Linked DNA regions of Schizosaccharomyces pombe. Changing the gene in region 2 together with the main gene of any one other region gives a genetic interaction. Each region holds a gene or a part of one and is shown on either strand. Other genes may lie near its edges.

Region 1 (5,416 bases), 1.5 Mb from region 2:
AATTTCTTTTTTATTTCACTCCAGTACTTGTTGTGGCTGCACAGTCTACATTTCCCGTACTTTCTCTCTATACAAATCCAGATTTGAAGTTTGTATAAACATATATAAATATAATTTTGTTTATATTTATTATATTTGCGCATACATATATATATATATATAAGGCTCGCTTTCTCTACCCCTTTACTTACGTACTCACACACCCTTCCTCTGCGCTCCTCTTCACTCCACTGCGTTATAGCCACAGCGTCGCATTTTTGTGTTAACTCACTTAAGCTTTTATCCCCATTGTTCCTGTGTTTTTCCTCTTTAACGCCATTGCGCCTAAGCTTTTTTAGCGCACACGTTATTCCTGCTTAAACTCGTTTCTCTTCATCCATTCGTCCTTCTGGATCTCGTTGCGCTCCCTTTCATTGGTTGCTTGTTCGATCCGAGGGTTGGTTAATTTGATAGCCTACTTGTACTCAATTGTTACTTTGTCTGGTTGATCTATTTGATCTGTTACTTGTCGTTGGCTTTTTTTTTTTTCTTTCTTACCCGGGGGACTATTAAGTGATATCATTGTTTGGTGCTCCAAGATATACCTATTTCTACTTCTTCTTCTCTTTCTACATATCGCTCGCTCGTCCTCTCCCTTCCTCCTCTTAACCCTTTACTTGCTCCCAATCCTTTTTATCTTTTGGGTTTCCTGTTTAAACGTTGGGTAAAGTATAAGATTGGATCTTATTTTCATCGTCGTTTTGTTGGATCGTATGAAAAATTTTACCTTGGTTCGTCGCTCAGTCCTTGCTCTGATCGTTTGGTAAAAATCAAAAATCGTTAGACTTGATTTCGTTGACGTTTAGTGCGTTTAATTCTCTTTCTTAGATTTTTTCCTCCATCCTTCATCTCGTCAACAGTTCTCTCTGTTGTCTCTCCACCGCTATACGTAGCTTTTAAAAGTCGTTTGTTTCATTACCTGCGCCCATCTTTTCTTTTCTAAACTTTAACTCAAAGTGAATAAATAGGAAGAACTAGTCTTTTTTCCTTCCATAAAAGAGCACCAGATATATCGTTGAATCGCCGTGCTTTTTCTATTTGCTTCATTTTTTTATCCCGTACGATGCAAAATAGTTAATTTCTTCAACTTTTCTCAACTTTTGTTTCACCACTTCTTTCTCTCAATTGGGTTAGATTTTTCTCCTTTTACATTTTTTTTATACCTCCCTCTTTTTTTTTCTTGTTTCCTTTTCGTTGATATTTTCATATTTTCGGAATTCTCCTTTTCTAGTTATCCTATTTCTCGTTTCATCATTTTCTTTGTCTTTTCTCAAAAAGGTGTACTCTTGGGTTTCTTTCCACAGTGTAGTATCGCTTTTTTTGAACCTTTGAAGAGCTCATATATTCCTTTCCCTTGAGTTTTTCGGATTAAGTTTTGAATTTTTTTCCCATTTTCTTCATTGCTTTACCGTTTGTTTTCACTTCACTTTGGGGTCTTGGTGGTTACTTGTCTATTGTTTTTTTTGTGGGGTTCTGCATTCTGAATAGTTCTGTTTCTTTTTTTCTGAACTCATCTGTCTAAGTATTCACCATTCATTTGGTTTATTTACAGACGTGTGCTCTGTAATTTTCATCCTTAGTTGACCTTACGTTTTTGCTAGTTTGTTGCATCAACGTGCTTTTGGTTCCCCCCTTTAGCTTTGAATACGCTTCTGACTTTTAAATTGGGTTTTCTGTTTTGTAGGAAAATTATTCCATTGTCATTACATTTCAATTAGCCTCTACCTCTTTTCGTTCCTCGATCTCCTACTTGTATACTTTTCTGCACTTTGACAAACTGCAACTTATAATATTTCTTATACCCTCTATCTTATATTTTTGTTCAGTCTGGTTACTGTTTTCGTGCGTGTGCCCTACCTTTTTGCATTTTCTACTAAATACGAAATAATTTCTTAAATAGTGTTGCTTTTTGCAATCTTGCACTGTGCACTCACAAGCAGTATTTTTATTTTCCTCTTAAAATCGCTTGACCTTTGAAGTGACGATTCATTAATCCGTTAATTTTTAAGGATTCCCCCTTTTTATTCTCATATTTGCATAGTACTGATTCAAACCCATTCTTTGAATTGGATACTCCTCATCCCCTCTAAAACTCTTCCATCTTTATTTTCTGCAGAAAGTTTGAATTGAAAAACTTTTTTCATCTCAGACTTGATTTGAATCTTCTCTTGTTTCCTTCTATATTTTACTAATTTTATTGCCAAATTTTGCGTTAATTCTTTCCTTTTTAGAACCCTGGATTTTCCGTAATTTTGATATTTCCTATCCATTCATTATTTTGCTTTCGGCCTTCAAAACTTGTGCTATCCAATATTTGTATTTTATTTAAGAAGTCTGAATTTTTTTTTACTTTTTTACTTTTTTTTTTAATCATCTCTGCTTCTTTTTTAAGGCCAAATATTCTTAATACAAAACATTCATCTAAAAAACCACGATGAATTTTTCAAACGGTTCAAAATCGTCTACTTTTACAATTGCTCCTTCGGGTTCATGTATTGCTTTACCTCCTCAGCGGGGTGTAGCAACGAGTAAGTATGCTGTTCATGCTTCTTGCCTCCAAGAATATCTCGACAAGGAAGCTTGGAAGGATGACACATTGATCATCGACCTTCGTCCCGTATCCGAGTTTTCCAAATCTAGAATTAAGGGCTCCGTCAATCTTTCTTTACCTGCAACCTTAATTAAGCGTCCTGCCTTTTCGGTCGCGCGTATCATCAGCAATCTTCACGACGTCGACGACAAGAGAGATTTTCAAAACTGGCAAGAGTTTTCATCCATTCTTGTTTGTGTTCCTGCTTGGATTGCTAACTACGTAACGAACGCTGAGGTAATTGGTGAAAAATTTAGAAAAGAATCCTATTCTGGTGACTTCGGTATTTTAGATTTAGACTATTCGAAAGTCTCGGGCAAGTATCCATCTGTGATTGACAACTCTCCTGTAAAAAGTAAATTAGGTGCTTTGCCTAGCGCTCGCCCCAGATTGTCTTACTCTGCTGCTCAAACTGCTCCTATCTCTTTGTCCAGCGAAGGCTCCGATTACTTCTCTCGTCCTCCTCCCACTCCTAATGTTGCCGGTTTGTCTTTAAATAACTTTTTCTGTCCTCTACCTGAGAACAAGGACAACAAATCTTCTCCATTTGGCAGTGCTACAGTCCAGACACCCTGCTTACACAGTGTGCCCGATGCTTTTACCAATCCAGATGTTGCGACCCTCTACCAGAAGTTCTTGCGCCTGCAATCATTGGAGCATCAACGTCTAGTTTCTTGTTCGGATCGTAATTCTCAGTGGAGTACCGTTGATTCATTGAGTAATACATCGTATAAGAAAAACAGATATACCGACATTGTTCCTTACAATTGTACTCGTGTGCATTTGAAAAGAACTAGCCCTTCAGAGCTCGATTATATCAATGCTTCCTTTATCAAAACTGAAACTTCAAATTACATCGCTTGCCAAGGTTCTATTTCTCGTTCTATTAGCGATTTCTGGCACATGGTATGGGACAATGTGGAGAATATAGGCACTATTGTTATGCTTGGTTCATTGTTCGAGGCTGGCCGCGAAATGTGTACTGCATATTGGCCAAGTAATGGTATTGGAGATAAACAAGTGTATGGAGATTACTGTGTCAAACAAATTTCGGAGGAAAATGTCGATAATTCTCGATTCATTTTGCGAAAGTTTGAAATTCAGAATGCCAATTTTCCTTCAGTTAAAAAAGTACATCACTATCAATATCCTAATTGGTCTGATTGTAATTCTCCTGAAAACGTGAAATCTATGGTTGAGTTCTTAAAATATGTGAACAACTCTCACGGATCAGGAAATACTATTGTGCACTGCTCTGCCGGTGTTGGTCGGACAGGAACCTTTATTGTACTAGATACGATCCTACGCTTCCCAGAAAGCAAACTTTCTGGTTTCAATCCTTCTGTCGCCGATTCTTCAGACGTCGTTTTCCAGTTGGTTGATCATATCCGAAAGCAGCGGATGAAGATGGTTCAAACCTTCACACAATTTAAATATGTGTATGACTTGATCGATTCTTTGCAAAAATCTCAAGTTCATTTCCCGGTTTTAACATGAAATTTTTGACTGGATTTTTCTTGGCAATATATATTCGTGTTTTAATCGATTCCTTTATTTCTTGTACTTGTAAAGTGTCTTTTTTTTTACATTTGCATTTGAATTTACTGTCAATGTTTGTGAAATTCAGTTGCTTTAATCACGTTGTCTTTTATTTCAAAAAGTATATTTGAGAACTAGGCTTTTTAATGATATCTTTTTTTCTCTTAAATTTTCTTTTTAGAACTTTGTAAACCTATTTTTTGTACAAGATAAAGTCATCAAACTGATAATAACCTTGTATTATTTTCAGATGCTTTTTAAAATTTATTACTCGATTTCTTTAGGCAGAAATATAGAGTTTAAGCGAAGTGGTCGTGATCAAGAGCAATAGAATTCTTTCTTCACTGATTAAAGGTGAGACGATTCATTAAATATACATTCATTTGAACTATCGTTTGTATGTTTTTAAGTAAGACAAACTTGCAGGAACAAAGATTTTTTATAATACACATTAAACGTAACTCAATATAAATAAATTATTATGGCAATCATTAGGATGCAGATATTCCAATAGTACCTAGAATGCTTTTATATTCACTTTGTCTTTATGCGGTTCATAAGCTGACTCCATTTTTGTAAAGCCATCATATGGTCCTCGTCTAAAACGGCCAAGTTAACTTTAGTTTCAGCAAGCTGCTTTTCTTTTCTAAAGATTTCATCTTCGAGAGACTGACTTTCAACCATAATTTCTAAATTCTCAGCAATGATTGCTTCCATATCTCCTTGAAATGCCTGCTCTATTTCTGACTTTTGCTTAGCAAGTTGACTATTTAAGGATGCAATTTCGGATTTTAATGATGCTTGTTCAACAGTTTGATTTTTTAGATACATTTTTTCTTTCAGTAGTAGAGCGGACATGTTCTCATGTTCAACTTGCAAATTTGCCATTGAATCTGACAACATGATAAAATGCTCATTTAAAGATTTGTGCCTATTACGCATTTCTTCAAGAGAAGAGTCTAGCTCATGCTCCGATTTAAGTAAAATGTCATATTCATTTCCGTATCGATCCAAGACATCCGGCTGAATTTCGAAAGAGAAAGCAGTTTTTACAAACAAAGATGTATCATAATTCTCGCCTTCTTGAGTCTCCTTAAAGGCCAAAAAAATGTCTTCCTTAAGGTAACTAATCAGCCTATCCATATTGAGTTTCAGCAGGCTCTCTTGACTGTGACTTAGCAACGCAAGCCCAAAATTGAAGAGTATACCTGGACCATACAGAAATAAAATATCATACAGATGAGCAAC
Region 2 (6,111 bases):
AAGAACAAAAAAGCCCACCCCTTCTGCTACACCAGCTGCTCATCCTGATACTGCTAGGGAGAATGAATTAGCCGCTATCCAGACAAAGGGTATATCAGCTGGAAAAACCGAACAGCTTAATCCGCAAAAAGAAACTAGTCGTAGTAAAACTCATACTTCCCGAGGAGAAAATGTAGAGGATCGACCACAATCCTTACTTCAAAATGGCATTCAACCTATCATTATGCGCGATGGGAAACTTGCTTTGAACCCCGAGTTTTTCAAGAATGCAAATGGAGAGCAACAGGCTCCCAACGAGCAAGCCGTTCAAGCAATTTCACTACTCCAACAGCACATTAATAAGCAGCTAGGACCTGCCGCTGCCAACAACCCGGAGCAAGCCACAGCGATTGCGAATGCTCTCGCTGTGGCTTTAGCCCAAAAACTTCAAAAGCAGCAAACGCAAATGCAAGGGCCCCAACAAGTGCAACAACAGGCAAAGCGTCGTAAAGCTTATACTTCACAGCAACTTAATCCGGCGCCGACTGCAATGCCGCACCCTAACATAACATCACCGTCTCCTAGTATCTCAGTCACTCAACGTCCTGCAGTAAACGTTGGACCACCTCCATATGTTAGGCCATCTGCTCCTTCGAAGTTACCAGATACACGCCAGAGTATTGGAGACCCGTTACCCCCAGGAGCAATGGCTAATGTGTCCGCGGGGCCATCGTCAGTTCGATCATCGTCGTACAACTCCACTGCTTCTGAAAGCAAATCAGAGATAACAAGCCATCAAAATCTACACACCATACCAATAAACAAACCATTCACTTCTGATCGGCCTTTATACTCTTCGCCTAATGATACTTTAGAGAGAGTTGAAACAGGCAATCAAGGACAAAGGATGAATTCCATTGGAAATGCATCAAGCTTTAGTAAAAGAGATATAATGGAAAACGAAAATGGATCTTTTGATACTAATGCAAAGAACGGAAACAATGTTGACGACTCATCTTCAGTAAGGGGCATGAATTTACCATCAAACTCAAGCGACGCTTTACGAGGAGTAAAGCGACCGTTGGACGAGACATCATCCTCTTATACCTGAATTTACTAATGCTCATGCACGTAACGTTGTTGATGACTTCTTAATTAATACATTAGTGCCGAAAATTACACTTACCAGCATGCATAAGCTGTTTCATTTTTCTTTTTTTGACAGTGATTGCACAACTTGGTCTTTGGGTGGTTTCTACTTTTATTTCTCATGTGTTTAATGTTTACCTTAGTTAATACTTTACATAATAAATTGCCGTCTGGTTTTATTTCATTTAATAAGCATTTTCGTTTTCTTGTCGAAAAAGTTAATAGCAAAGCAGGAAGGGTATGGAGGATTCGCTTTTGTTATCTGTGAACATTAGCGATTCCTTATTTACGTTTTCATTGAAACCTTTGTTTAGCCAATACAGAAAGCATATTTACTTCAATGATTGTTTTTATAGCACTTTTAATAAGACCAAAACTATTATTGTTGTAATCCTGTCGGGCAAGCTCTCTGATCTGATAGACTTCAAAAGTTACATTGAATTTGTTTTGAAAACAAACAACTCATATTCAGCGATTCTAATTTCTTACTATAGATGTATATTTATCATATCACTTTTCCATAGACCGCTCACTATTCATTTCTTAACTAACTTAACTCACGGATGTACAAGAAGCTTCACAAAATAATATACCGAAACACTGGAAAACGCAAGCTATGTTGCATCGTCAAACATTCTACTCTCTATTTTTTTATGCGCTTCGATAAACCCCATATTATGGAGTCAGGGCATTGCGTAGTACATTTTATGACGTATGAGTGAGCTAATGCAGGCATCCATCCATTTTAGTCCAACGCCTCAGGTAGACTTTAAACATACATCTCAACCGTAACAAACGAAGGTAAATAACTGATTTGTATAGCTGAATTCAGCTCTTTTATTTTGGAAAATTTACCTCTTGTGGTTGATTAAAGTGTCAGGAAAAGCTGAAGCGAACAAAAACCGCGAGATTGTGATTCACTGAGAGTAAGAAACAAAAAACCGCATTTTTTGAAAGAAAGGCACGTAAACTTTAGGAGACATGTCTTTCGAAGAAGTATATGAGGAGCTAAAAGCCCTTGTTGATGAGCAAAATCCTTCAGATGTACTTCAATTTTGCTATGACTTTTTTGGAGAAAAGCTGAAAGCTGAGCGCTCAGTATTTCGTCGAGGTAAGTAGATGCTTCTGGATAGCTATGTTTAGTGGAGAGGAAAAGTAAATGATGGTCAATATGGGTTCTTTTTTGTGGTTTTTTACTTTGTTTTGCTCTATAGTAAGTATTTTCTAAATTTAGTCAGCAAACAGCAATTATGATTCCTGGCTGTTAATAATTCCACAAAGTTGTTTAAGGACCCTGTACCCATTTAATCTCCCACTCTATACTACACAAATTTTACCCTTTTTTGTTTTATCATGTTAACAAATTTCTCTTTTAGGCGACACCATTACAGAGTCTTTTAGCGACGGAGATGAAAGCGATTTCCTGTCTGAGCTCAACGATATGGTTGCTGGCCCCGAGGCAATTGGTCCGGATGCCAAATACGTTCCTGAATTGGGAGGATTAAAAGAAATGAACGTTTCATATCCGCAAAACTACAATCTGTTGCGTCGCCAATCTGTTTCCACTGAGTCGATGAATCCTAGTGCATTTGCACTAGAGACCAAACGAACCTTTCCTCCGAAGGATCCTGAAGATTTGAAAAGACTAAAGCGCTCAGTTGCTGGGAACTTTTTGTTTAAGAATTTGGATGAAGAACATTACAACGAGGTTCTGAACGCTATGACTGAAAAACGGATTGGAGAGGCTGGTGTTGCTGTCATTGTCCAAGGAGCAGTTGGAGATTACTTTTATATTGTGGAGCAAGGTGAATTCGATGTATACAAAAGGCCCGAACTAAATATTACCCCTGAAGAAGTGCTTTCGAGTGGTTATGGTAACTACATAACTACGATTTCTCCCGGTGAATATTTTGGAGAGTTGGCACTCATGTATAATGCTCCACGAGCTGCATCGGTGGTCTCCAAAACACCAAATAATGTAATTTACGCATTAGATCGTACAAGTTTCCGTCGTATCGTATTTGAAAACGCATATCGCCAGAGGATGCTGTATGAAAGCCTCCTTGAAGAAGTTCCCATTCTCTCAAGCCTTGACAAATATCAACGACAAAAAATTGCCGATGCTCTTCAGACAGTCGTGTATCAAGCCGGTAGCATCGTTATTCGACAAGGCGACATTGGTAACCAGTTTTATCTGATAGAGGATGGCGAGGCTGAAGTAGTGAAGAATGGCAAAGGCGTAGTCGTTACCCTAACCAAGGGAGATTACTTTGGTGAACTAGCTTTAATTCACGAAACAGTGAGAAATGCGACGGTACAGGCAAAAACTCGCCTGAAACTTGCTACATTTGATAAACCTACATTTAATAGACTACTTGGTAACGCGATCGATTTGATGCGTAATCAACCTCGTGCCAGGATGGGAATGGATAATGAGTATGGTGACCAATCTCTTCATAGGTCACCTCCATCAACTAAAGCATAAAATTTCTATAATCTGTTTTCTTTGAAACTATCTTTGTAATAATGACCTGTCATGATATGCTAAAGAATTTCCCTGTTGTTTGTTTGCCTTCTAACTTTTTCATATTGGTCATGCATGCATGTGATTGTTTACCATTATCCCTGGAATAATTTACTTATTCATGTTGAACATGTTTTGTTTGGATTACTTATCTAATTCAGCATTATATGTGATAATGTATATATACGTATTATTCTTTTTTATTTCTTTGAAAACCTTTATGTCTTGTTCTAGCATGGCACTGGATATGGTTTGTTAATGTTTTAATTCCAATTATATTCGTGATTACCACTTCACTGTTCTTATTTTGTTTTTTTTTTTCTTTTTGAAATTTCCTTTTTTTTTTATTATTTTTATCTGTCGAATATCGCAGCATTTGATGTTTGGAAGCTTACCGTTTAGTTTGTGTTTTTTTTTTCGTACGGATCATGACAGTTATTTTATCGTTCTCTTCATCCTGTTTTTTTTTGTTTTTTAATCGATATTTGATATCGTCAAATATTTCTATCTATATGGAGAGTTCTTATATTTGTTTTTTGAATAATCACACACTCTTCAAAACAGCAGCTGCATTCAATAATGTACTTGGCATTGGAGTAACGCACATTATACAAGAATTACCGTGGTCCGTAAACACTTGCAAGCATGAAATACTTAGAAAGCTTTAGGCAGACGCTAGACGTGGGGAAAGGGATGAAGTGTTAAAAATTCAAGAGTGTGGATGTTTTGTATGCAAACTGAGTGAGTTCTCGGTTTTTGTAGTTACGTGACATAACTTTAAAAATTTTATGAGAAATTGACTAATATCAAGAATTGAGAATAGTTTTTTAATACAATACACAAAATTTTTACCAAGTTTTGAGTAAAGGGGTGCAAATTAGATGAAACTACAGTCTGCGATAAACGATACGTGTAACTAGGAGAATGCAAATTGTGTAAAAAACTTATAAAACGAATATCTTGTTAGACAAATAAATTCAGCAAAAAGCGAAAGGACTTTTATTCAATTATCAAATCCGTACGAAATGGGATACAAAAAATTTTAAAGAATACTCAATTTCGTACATTCAATGTTCTTGCGAACATAATAAATAAAAAAACGACTACAGTTGCGAACTATGCGTAAGGTTTTCTTAAACAAGAAAAATTTTTTTCCCCATATTCCATACTACATATTTACTGTGAATGTTCTTAGTAGGGTAGGTTATTCACAACAAGCACAACGGGTAGAAATGACAATTACTGCAGAATAAAGTTAAGCACTCGAGATAAATTGTAATATTAAGAAGATGATCAGCGAAGCAATGTTTTGGTAAAGAAATGTTTTGTTTTGTGTCTTACTTTCGTCTGAATTAACTTTGTTTACATATGCATTTTTTCACTCACATAACAGGGTTTCGTATAAATTCTAGTTACGCCAAGATTTACAACTTCTACCAACCACCAAACAAGAACGCAGAGCGTGTAAAAGTAGAACAAAAATTGAGTTGAATATGACCACGAATCCCGATATTGTTAAACAGACGAAAAATGAAATTCACCAAGTAACGTCGAGAGTCCAGGAGAAGCTGGATTCGAAAAGTACCAACGCGGTCGAGCAGAATAACAATTCTTCCCAGGCGTCCGTCACCAAGGATAACAAGAAGAAGGCCGCTAAACGCGCCAAAAAGAAGGCTGCAAAAAAGAAGAAGCAGTCAGCAGCAGCATCTGCCTCTTCCACACCTGTGGAAGAAGCTCAGCACGCGCAAGAGGAACAACAAGAACAAACCATATTACAAGAGCCAGGATTTACACAAACTATAGTGGAGAAAGACGCTGATCAGGTTGACGAGCCTTTGGAACCCATAGCATCCTCAGCTCTGGGTACTGTAGAGCCGCCTACTGACAACAAACCCTCTGCCTCCACGTCAACAGCAGTGCCAACTACGGAAGCACGCAATACAAGTATTACCGAACCCGCCAATTCCCCTTCCTCCTCCTCCTCATCCGCTTCTACAAAGTCTACTGCAACCACACAATCCGCTGATTACGTCGTAGCCGAACATTTCGCACCCCAGCGCAATGACGAGCAACTCGGTAATTCCCCAGCTTCGATTACGTCTAAGCCAGCAACGACATCTGCTGCGCAACCTTCTTCGAAAGTAGAGGAAAACATGGCGAAAGCTACTTCACAACCCATTACTACCGCTGAGAAAGAAATTCCAGAATTGAAGCCCATTGAGCCTGAAGCTATTATGATATCGAAAGAAATAAATACTACGCATGATCAGGCAGCAGCTACGACAACAGCAGCAGTTGCCTCTGCCTCTACTACTGCCACTGCTGAGTCACATGCAGTGGCCGATGGAATTATGAATGATAACGTACTTGAAAGCATTGGTGAAAACGTTCAGCAAGAGACGGTTTTCGAGGATGCGAGCGACATTCCACATGCAGATGTCATCCCCCATACCACCACA
Region 3 (4,646 bases), on a different chromosome or scaffold from region 2:
AAGAAACTTGATAAATCATAAGCTTGTTTAAGTTGAAGTTTTAGTAGGTAAAGGAAAGTTGAAAGAAATGTAAAATGAAATGTTTTCTTAAACATAAAAAATAACCAGTTGATCGGAACCAATTTGAGTTTGTAGCGAAATACCATGTTTTTGAGTTGCAAACGCATAAAAACTTGACGGTGTGGATCGAATTTAGCGAATTAAAATCATGTACTTCATAACAATAATAATAGTTTAACAATAGGAGAAAGAGCTGAACAATTATAAATAAATTTATGCAGTACATACAGATGAATCTGATGTTTCTAGATCCGGTACATTTGCACTCGAAATGTTTATCACATAACGAACAATATCGATTATTCAATACAGTCTGTTATTAAACTATAACGATACGTTGTAATTGCGTTGATGTTTCACCCAAAATCAAATAGTGTAAAATCATATACTTGCGGATCTATGTTTACAGAAACACTGTTTTGTTTCAATATATTTCACAATTCCTTCAGTGCAACGCAGTGTAGTCTGCTATTCTGTTGCCTCAAAGTCCAAAGTTTCCATATGGCGCAAAGTATAAAGGTACTGCTGTAACATAAGGGTCTTGACTCACCGAGCCTCGGTCTCTAGATGTGCTAGATGTCCTATGATACGGTGGGTAGTTTGTAAAGATGCGTGGCGTAGTGACAACATACGAGGTGCATCGAATTCAGCAACATTCCATCCCTCGTAACTATATAAAGTGCATGGTATTGCGTATGCAGAGCTGAAAATCAACTTTTAACCAACCTTTCGAAATTTGAAATCATGCCTCATATGGAAGACAACGGTAGTGAAAAGGAACAGCTGTTTCTGCAACACATTCAAAATCTGCCTCAAGAGCGCTTGGATGCGATTCGCGGGCATCCTGAGTTGGTTCTTAAGGAAATCGATGAATTCACGTATCCAGACGGATCTGGAGTGAGAATGTGTATAGGAGATGTTAAAGGTGGATTTATCGTTGGGAAAATTCGTGAACGGAAGCCGAAAATCATGGTTGAGTTAGGCGGCTATTTGGGCTACTCAGCTATTTTGTTTGGAAATGAAATCTCCAAAATTCCTGGTGGTCGTTATTACAGCTTGGAAGTGAATGAGGATTATGCCAAGATTGCTTACGAGTTGGTTAAGTTGGCCGGTCTGGATGAAATAGTCACCATCATGATTGGCAAGGCTTGCGACAGTTTGGTCGAACTGCAACAGAAATTATTGCATAAAGACCTTGGTTTTCAAGCTTTGGACATGGTATTTATCGACCACTGGAAGGACCTTTATGTGCCTGACTTGAGGGTTATTGAATCACTTAATATGATTGCTCCGGGAACCCTTCTAGTGGCCGATAATATTATAACACCTGGTGCTCCTGAATATCATAAATATGTTAATATGAGTCCTGAAGAACGTAGAGGATATCAAGCCAAGGTTCGCAATGTCAATGGATTCGATTTCATCGGCAGATGGGATTTGATATATAAGACTGAAACTAAAGAATTTGAGGGTGTCATTCGCAATAAACACCGCAAAGACGCTGTCGACGTTACGGAGTGTGTTGGCTATGCTAAAAAAGATTAGGTACCAAAGGCATTCCCTAATCTTTTTATAATTGACTTTATGTGGTATCTGATACCTTTTACGATCTTTTGAAGCCCAGTTTATACAGCATACAATCGTGTCTGGGATCCCATTCTTTGCTCGTCCAGATATTGTTTGCTAATGTTATAAATTATAGTTGACAATGAATTGATTTCTCTTTTAATCCCGTTGCTTGATTCTAAAAACGATGTGTAAAATGTCAAGTATAGTATAGTAATTTAAGTTTCCTGTTCACTATTACATTTGGAATGTGCCCATTCTGTTAGATGAACGCATGATCGTCAATAGAGAAGTACTAAAGAAATCGTTAACTTGCATACTATAAATGTGCACTGCTAATTACTCTACTCGCAAATACGAAGAACACCTAGCTGGATATATCTACCTTTCATGCAATGATTGAGCGAGCACGAAAGCAAAGTGGTAAGCTTGCATTGTGGAATGTAGCAATCTCTAAAAACACATTACTGTAATACTGTTTTTTGCGTTATTCAATTCAATGTTGTTTAGCCTGAGTTATTTTTTAAGGAAATCTAACGAATGATATCGAAACTTAACACGAGTTTGATTTGTTTACGCTGCTCTCTAAATGAAAAGCGTGTCGCGCCGCGTAGCATGCCACTTCGCAAGCATTAAAAGCTGGAAATGAAGAGTAGAAAATATAATAGTAGTAGTTCATTTGAAAACATAAAATATACTTGTTTCTTACTTCTCATTTGGTCTTTACTATCATTTTCTAAATTTTGCATTTTCACTTTCTGTACTGTGATTGTATACAAAAAAATAATCTTTTATTTGTTTAATAGTTTTTTTTGTTTCATTTGCAAATATCAAATACTTTACACGAAATTGAAAAACCTCCGTGAGCCATGGGTTTGAAAGAAATGTGCTGCGTTAGTATAAGTATGAGTGCTTAGTCGCTCATTTCTGCATCCATTTTCTTATCCTCTTATTCTTTCTATTATCTAATTCACATCAAACTATATTCTACTTTTACAATCACTTTCTACTTCTAACAATGAGCTCTCAAAACACCTCCAACAGCCGTCACCCAGCAAGCAGCGCTTCTGCTTTACCAAATCGCACCAATACGGCAAGACGCTCAACTTCTCCCAGAACTAGTACTGGAAGCTCCAGTACTAACACTAACACCAAAACTGTTGACCATGCCGGTACCACTTTCATCAGCTCTACAAGCAAACGCGGCCGTTCTACCAAAGCTGGATCGGTACATAGCGTTCCCATGAAACGCACTAAACGTGTTCGCCGAACCCCTGCACAACGCATTGAACATGAAAATAAAGAAAATATTCAGACTGAAAAGGTTTATAGGATTAAGCCTGTCCAAAGAGTTCTTTCTCCCTCAGACCTCACTAACGAACTAACCATCCTGGACCTATTTCATGTTCCTCGACCTAACGAGACTTTTGACATCACCGACCGTGTAAACAACACCTCTCGCTAAGCAACTGCTTAAATTAGCTTAATTTTCTTCGATCCTGAATGACTAATGCCGAAGGGGAATATGAACACCACATAAAAATTGAAAGAAATTCTCTTTCGAGCATTAATTTTTATTAATTAAACCGCTGTTATAGGAAATTTTCATCCTAACTATACAGCTATTATATTTGAACTTGCATACTTATTTTCATGTTTTCCATTTTTACAACAAAAAAGAAAAAAAATTAAAACAAATTTAGTCCTTTCATTCATTCCCCAGTGCTTTCAGACGCTTTTTATAACAATTCTCCCTTGAGTTTCATTTCTGTTCATAGTCTCATTATTCTTTATTGTGTGTTGACTTCTTTTATTTTTAAACAAAGGTTCATTTTTATTGTCGTTCTCTTTTTTTTTTGAAATTCTGCTACTTTCTCTTGGAATCCCCATCAACGTGTTACCGAATTTGATTCATCATTATTCATACATCTTCCATTTTTGTTGGACATTCGCTGTCTCCAGTTTTTACTTTATCTTCCCATTTTAATAATGTGAGTCTTTACATTCATGGGATTTCCACGTCGATTCTTTTTTATTGCTTAATGGAAACGATTCTGACCGGACATCGTAATTAAATCTCTAACAAAGGCTACCTAATTTATACTTCCTCATCCGTTTACTATTTTTTGCTTTAATATACGTTAAGCAATAGAACAATTTACCATAGCATATTAACAAATCTAATACACTGTCATTCGTTCCCTATTAATCATATTTTTGCTTTGTAATTTATTTTTTTTATTATGGAATTAAAATATAAACGGTATGAAAGTCGTAAAAAGAAAAACACTAAAAATAAACAAAAGTCAAGAGACATGCGTATTTAATAGTACGCATCGATAATCATAAAGAATATGCAACAATGTTTGGATATCGAATTCATACACATAAATGAGGTGTCTCAATCTATGAAGAAGCAGCTATGCCGCGGTGTTGCTTTATAAGCATAAAGCATAGTCGAGAAAAAGACAAAAGACCAAAGGAGTAAACATGAACAAGGGAAATGCATTCGCGATATACGGAAATTTCTACTTGGAAATTTCAAAATAAAAAACAACTGCGCACCAACGATAACAAACACAGGTGCTAGTTCAACCACACAGAAAGTTTTACTTATATAAAGGAAGAAAAAAAGCATAGAAAAAGGAAAGAAACGAACTCGCATTTAAAAAATGGAATTGACGAGATCAGCGCCAGCAGTTGCACCAGCACCGAATACAAATGCAGAACCCAAACCACTACCAATCTTCTTGAATGTTGATGAGTGCTTGTGCTCGGTCGGTTGTGCAACCACGATGGGTTGTTGAGGCGCCTGAGGATAGGCTTGGACAGGTGGATATGGTGCTTGCTGAGGTGGATATGCTGTTTGCTGATACTGCATGGGAGGTGCCGAAGAAGATGCTGCTGGGGGATAGTTTTGCTGTGGTGGAGGAGGAGGAGGTTGAGCTTTAACGGCAGAATCTTCCAACAAACGCACATAGTTAGAAGGGAAGATTCCTTCCTTTCCATTCAATTCACCA
Region 4 (5,561 bases), 490 kb from region 2:
TGAAACAACTCTGCTATGTGGAAGGAGAGAAGTGATTTTTGGAAGTTTAGCCATTCTTTATTACTTTTTATTTAATTGGTTTATAAAGTGAACAAATAAATAAAGATAAAGAATAAATGTAATGAAAATAAAAAAAAACAGCTGTGTTATAATCCAACTGATTACAGCTCGCAGACAATTTTTTCAAAAAGGAACAAGGCCGTAGAAACGAATGCTACACTTATGACTAGGTCAGAATGAAAACAAGCAAAATATAGGAGGAATGTTCAATGACACGCAGATAAGACAACAGGATAGAAACTTTTCTTCTCTACCAAAGATAGTTGATAAATGGTATCAAAACGGGATTATTTTTTTGGTAAAATCAAGTAGCTAAAGTTCATAACCATACAATTAAAGCGTTGCAATACCTCAGAAACTGAGAAGATGCCTATAACAAAAAATGGGATAAGAAACCCAAACTATGGGAGGAAAAAAAAGATTAAAGGCGGAAAGTGATATTGTTAGAAAGTATGGAGAAAATCCTACAATGGTGGGTATTTGAATTCTTCATAAAAGAAGGATAGTTTACATGGAGCGAGTCATTGAATGAACTTTAAGCCGTTAAAAATCTACCGAAAATAGCTCGTTTAAGCGTGAGGTTATTTTTTTTTTATTTTTTAACGAATTTGTTACAAGTGTCCAGAAGTTCGTAAAACTTGAAGAGAGCAAGTAAATTTGTATAAACAAACATGTTTTTTAAAGTATAAAAACTTTGTAAATGATATTTAAGTTGGTGTAGAAATTTAATGTAAAAAAATTTTGGATGCTTTTTGTGTACGATAGATCGACTAAAAAAACATACAAGAATGCGCAGGTCATGCCATTCTTTTTTTTTCCATTAATTTATTCCATATTGACTCGCCATCCCCACTTTGCGGTAAATAAGCGCTGCAAAGTTTCTCGTTGATTTTTACTTTCCTCCCTCTACCACTCCTAAGAAGAAAAAGGAAATTTTTTGACTAAATAGTCATGATTTCAGCAATATTCTACTTGTGTTAGTGATGTTTTAGCAGTAGACAATGATTTTCAAAAAGCTCGAAAATACGGGTTTTCCGCAATACCCGCTACTATTTTGGTAGAAAAACAAGTCATTGTTAGTTCGTCGTTTTAAAAACGCTATCGTGAAAATGAAGATTCTTTTGAAAAGATAAAAGTCTTTTAAATCCGCAGAAAAAAGAAAAAAGAAATTAAACAGAAGAAGCTTGTATGGACTTTACTTCGGCTATTTGCATTCATTCTTCACCTCCTTATGATTGGTGTGTGTAAGCATGCAAGCGACTGCTTTGGTTTAGGTGCAATGAAATTCACTATTTCATTTAACGTTTCAATGGTTCAAGACTTCGCAACGACGAATAGGATCATGGATTGATATCGTAAATAACAATTAACAAGCCCGAAGGAGGTGGAAAGAAAAGCAATTTGATGTAAAATTAAGCTAGCGAAGAATTAAGAATGTAATCAAGCGCCCCACTGCAGTGCCGTGATTATCCTTGTCTTTTAAACACCGAAGTTTAAAATCCTTGCGCTTAACAAGCGATAGTGATCGACGGTGGAAACATTTTTTTTACGACCTCGAGGAGTTGGCGCTTTCTTTGCCCATAAGCATCTTCTTGTCTTCACCACACTTGAGCATTTCCGACTAGCCAAGGCTGGTCAATTTGCCCCTCAAATATTTTCTGAGGATTTAATAGTTACGACGTATAGAGGGTGCTTTTTAATTTTTGGTATCTTAAAAAAGGTTTGTATAGTACCGGTTGGATGTTGGCAAGTAGATAATTTTTTGTGGTAAATTTTTGCACTTCCGATAAACGTTCTGTCAGGCACAGGATTATGAATCCATCTGATTTACCAGGTCAAATACCTCTGTCTAGATCAGATATGAATGTCCAAGATCAATTGGACCCGGTTCAACGCTTTGATACTCATTTTATGCTTCCCCAGGAGGAGAATTTTTTGAATCGCCCCTCCATAACCTCCGAATCTGCACATCCACGAGGAAGTGATTTAGAGCAAGAGACAGAACTAAAAAGACTTGCGTTGGAACATGAACATTACTCTTTAGAGTCGCTAGCGGAAAAGCTGCGAATGGACCACGTAAGTGCCAATTCGGAAAAATTTCGCCAGGTTTTTGGCATATGTTGGTTAAAGCGTGCTTGTGAAGAACAACAAGATGCTGCTGTCCAACGAAATCAAATATACGCTCATTACGTCGAAATCTGTAACTCTTTGCATATCAAACCTCTAAATTCCGCTTCGTTTGGAAAACTGGTTCGTTTGCTCTTTCCTTCCATCAAAACCCGACGTTTAGGCATGCGTGGCCACTCAAAATACCATTATTGTGGTATTAAACTGCGTGGTCAAGACTCTTTTCGCAGACTACGTACCTTTTCAGATTCAAGTCTTTCCCCCGTTTCCTGTTCTTCGTTTCCCAAACCTATTCCCAATCATTTTGAAAACGATGTTTCTTCTATTCAAAACACAAATCAGCGTGTAGAAAGCAGCCCTGCATCGGTTAATGCTGCGGCTATAGTTAGAAAATCCGCTGTCACCCCTTCATCAGATCCTTACAATTCGCCTCCTCCTTCTATACCTTTGCTAGGAAGTCAAACCAATTTGCAATTGGCTCCTTCTTTTGCTGCTCCACAAGCCCATCCCCTACCTTCACATCTTTCACAATCCAATGTTCCGCCACAACTTTCTCATTCTTCGGTACCTTCACCTGCACCACCCCGTTCTGTGTCCCAACCGACCTATTTTTCTCAACCCATGCCTCAGTTTTCTTCTTCGTTTGTACCCGGTACTTCTTCGATAGTACCTACCTTGCATCCTGCTTCTGCACAAGAAGATTTTAATCTTCAACATTCCCTATTCTTCAAACTTAAACTTAAATTCTTGCCTCCTCATAAGCTTCCTTGGATCCCATCATTAGACGTGTCTTCATTTTCCTTACCTCCTATTGACTATTATTTAAATGGTCCATACGATAATGTCGAGGCGAAATCTGCATTAATGAACATTTATTCTTCGCATTGCATTACTCTAATTGAATCAGTCCGGTATATGCATCTCAAGCAATTTCTGTCCGAGATCTCTAACTTTCCCAATTCCCTCTCTCCTTCTCTTTTAGCTTTGCTGTCCTCTCCTTATTTCACGAAATGGATTGAGCGTTCTGATACCGTTATGTACAGGGAAATACTGAAGTTGCTATTCCCTATGACTCTTCAAGTGGTACCTCCGCCAGTCTTGGTGCTACTGCGTCATTTAGCTGAGAATCTCGTTAATCACATATCCAGCATATACGCTTCTCATTCATCTTGTCTTCTCCAAGTCAAATCTGAGACTGCCGCAATCTTTAGTAACTTATTGTCTCGTCTTTTGCGTGTCAACGATACGGCTCATGCTGCTGCTAGGTTCCTTGCCAACCCTGCCGACAGGCATTTAATTTGTAACGACTGGGAACGATTTGTCAGTACAAGATTTATTGTACATAGAGAATTAATGTGCAATGACAAAGAAGCAGTAGCCGCGTTGGATGAGTGGTATTCTATCCTTTCAACCTGTTCAAATCCTTCTGAGCTTTTAGACCCTTTGAAGGACAAACATGAAGCCAGTGATACATCAATGAACAGGGTCGAACTTCGACAAATTGATGGTGTTTTAGATCGTATGGCAGATTTTTTTCTGGAGTTGCCTTCCAGATTTCCCTCCTGCTCTCCTAGAATGTTTCTTCTATGCCTAGGCGCTTTACAAACTAGTGTGCTTCGTGAAATCACGGTCAGTGGAGGTGAAGCATTTGGGGCTCTTTGGGTAATTAGATGTTGGGTCGATGAATACATGACTTGGGTGGCAGAGATTGGCGGATACCTCGATGATAGTTATGATGAGCTGGAACAGCATCATGCTAACTTTCATAATAAAGCTGGAATATCTCAGAGTAATATCCCTCCTCATTTACAGGAGCACCGTCAATCCCAGCAACACTTCCAACAAGACATCGAAGCTTTGCAATCACAACAACAACAACAAGCCACTAAAAATTCCTTGATGGAAGCTGCCTACCAGAATGCTCAGAAGCAAAAGGAAGACGACTATATATCCATTGTATTTGATACAAATGGTGCTTGTAGTTGATGTACAATATAGTTGACCCTTTTTAGGGCTTCGAAAAAGCAAGCGTAATTACACTGACAAAAGTTAATATCATTCATATTATTGTTTTTGTTTTTTAATATATGTTTCTTTTGTTCAGGAGGTCTATTTGTTTAAGTCTGTGAACTTTTGAAATGCAATTAGATTACTATAATCCTGGCGCTTGTTTCTTATGGGTGAACGTCCATACATATACCAAATTGAAAGTGACTATACTTTATATTTGTTTTTTATTTCTTTTAAAATTTCACTGTCAGTAAATAGAGTTTCAACATTTTTGTCTTTAATTTTGATATCGACTATCACATATGTATTGATTAATATAAATGTTCTCCGATAACTATTTTATAAAACCTATTTAAACTATTGAGTGTAATTATTGCATTTCTCTGGCAGTAACAAGAATATTAAGCCCATACAAATGAGGAAATTGGCATCGATATCATTCAACAAGAATAGCGAACCCCCAAAAAAACAGCATCATACTAAAAGCGAACTTTCTACGAGAAACTTCGTGTTTAAAAAACAAGACTTCAAATAAAATGTTTAAATATTCCCCTTAAAGACCATATATTAAATTAAAAAAACGACAAAATAACTTAAACAACGGAAAATGGAAACATCAACCACTATTTCAAGTAAGAAGGTTTTCGGCGCTGCTGAAGTTTTTTATATTGCCCCTTCCGTCCACTCATTTTCGATTTTTGTAATTCTAGATATTTTTTCTTGAAGTACGATCGTCTTTCTGAATCGTGCAATAATTCGTCAACAATTGTCTCTTTGCGCTCTCGAGTGGGGATACGACTAGAGTAAAAGTCCTGAGGACCTTCAACGATGGAACCCACCTGAAAGTATTTGGGCATAGATTTCGTGTTTTCCCTTCGGTAATGCCGTTTCGGATCTAGTGCATTTCTCATCTTCAATAGCTGAATGTCGCGTTTCACCGATTCTGTGAGCTCGGTGGCAGGCATGTCAAACCAATTCGATCCAGCAGTGTCTTTAATATTTTTCTTCTTCTTTGATATACCAGGGGCTGAAACATGACTTTCATAAATAGGTACTGTTGGCTCGAACGACGCATCATTAATATATGACTCGCTATTCTCCACTAATTCATCTTTTTTCAATCCCATAACGAATTTCTTTTCAAAATATGAAGGCAATTCAAAAGAAGAGCTGATTATTTTGGGAATTTTGGTGAGCAACTTTTGTTGGCCATGCTTATCATCGTCAGACGCTTGCTTTTCTTGTAATGTGGATTTTGCAGATTCTAGTAGCTTTGAGATTGTTGCTAAATCTACAGAGAGCCCAATCTCAGTCATTGTTAAAAATAAACGGATTTAGGCAAAAGCGTTGTCAGTAGATGAAGA

What was found.
Region 1: of cgs1 (region 2) and pyp1, a mutation in one rescues a mutant of the other (synthetic rescue), as found in Schizosaccharomyces pombe (one study listed by BioGRID).
Region 3: of cgs1 (region 2) and mei3, changing one enhances a phenotype caused by changing the other (phenotypic enhancement), as found in Schizosaccharomyces pombe (one study listed by BioGRID).
Region 4: of cgs1 (region 2) and sak1, changing one suppresses a phenotype caused by changing the other (phenotypic suppression), as found in Schizosaccharomyces pombe (one study listed by BioGRID).

The regions. Positions count from the first base shown.
Region 1 is NC_003424.3:5,159,039-5,164,454, forward strand, and holds pyp1 (protein tyrosine phosphatase Pyp1), read left to right. Parts: upstream 1-2,473; coding exon 2,474-4,126; 3' UTR 4,127-4,322; downstream 4,323-5,416. Other genes in the region: GTPase-activating protein Gyp51, read right to left, coding at 4,703-5,416. UniProt on the Schizosaccharomyces pombe protein: Plays a role in inhibiting the onset of mitosis. Dephosphorylates sty1/spc1 and wis1/spc2/sty2.
Region 2 is NC_003424.3:3,641,130-3,647,240, forward strand, and holds cgs1 (cAMP-dependent protein kinase regulatory subunit Cgs1), read left to right. Parts: upstream 1-1,899; 5' UTR 1,900-2,109; coding exon 2,110-2,239; exon of another isoform or gene 2,240-2,504; coding exon 2,505-3,613; 3' UTR 3,614-4,507; downstream 4,508-6,111. Other genes in the region: DNA-binding forkhead transcription factor for ribosomal proteins Fhl1, read left to right, coding at 1-1,090; SPOM_SPAC1142.09 (uncharacterized protein), read left to right, coding at 1,369-1,716; SPOM_SPAC8C9.04 (uncharacterized protein), read left to right, coding at 5,146-6,111.
Region 3 is NC_003423.3:717,162-721,807, forward strand, and holds mei3 (protein Mei3), read left to right. Parts: upstream 1-2,557; 5' UTR 2,558-2,644; coding exon 2,645-3,091; 3' UTR 3,092-3,829; downstream 3,830-4,646. Other genes in the region: cmt1 (catechol O-methyltransferase 1), read left to right, coding at 805-1,605; lsb1 (SH3 domain-containing protein), read right to left, coding at 4,292-4,646. UniProt on the Schizosaccharomyces pombe protein: Acts as a critical meiotic inducer by binding non-covalently to protein kinase ran1/pat1 inhibiting its enzymatic activity. Inhibits ran1/pat1 by acting as a pseudosubstrate for ran1/pat1 instead of its natural substrate ste11.
Region 4 is NC_003424.3:3,145,819-3,151,379, reverse strand, and holds sak1 (DNA-binding transcription factor Sak1), read left to right. Parts: upstream 1-1,660; 5' UTR 1,661-1,872; coding exon 1,873-4,173; 3' UTR 4,174-4,432; downstream 4,433-5,561. Other genes in the region: tryptophan--tRNA (Trp) ligase Msw1, read right to left, coding at 1-54; rRNA processing protein Fcf2, read right to left, coding at 4,821-5,513. UniProt on the Schizosaccharomyces pombe protein: Positively regulates cyclic AMP-dependent protein kinase-mediated exit from the mitotic cell cycle.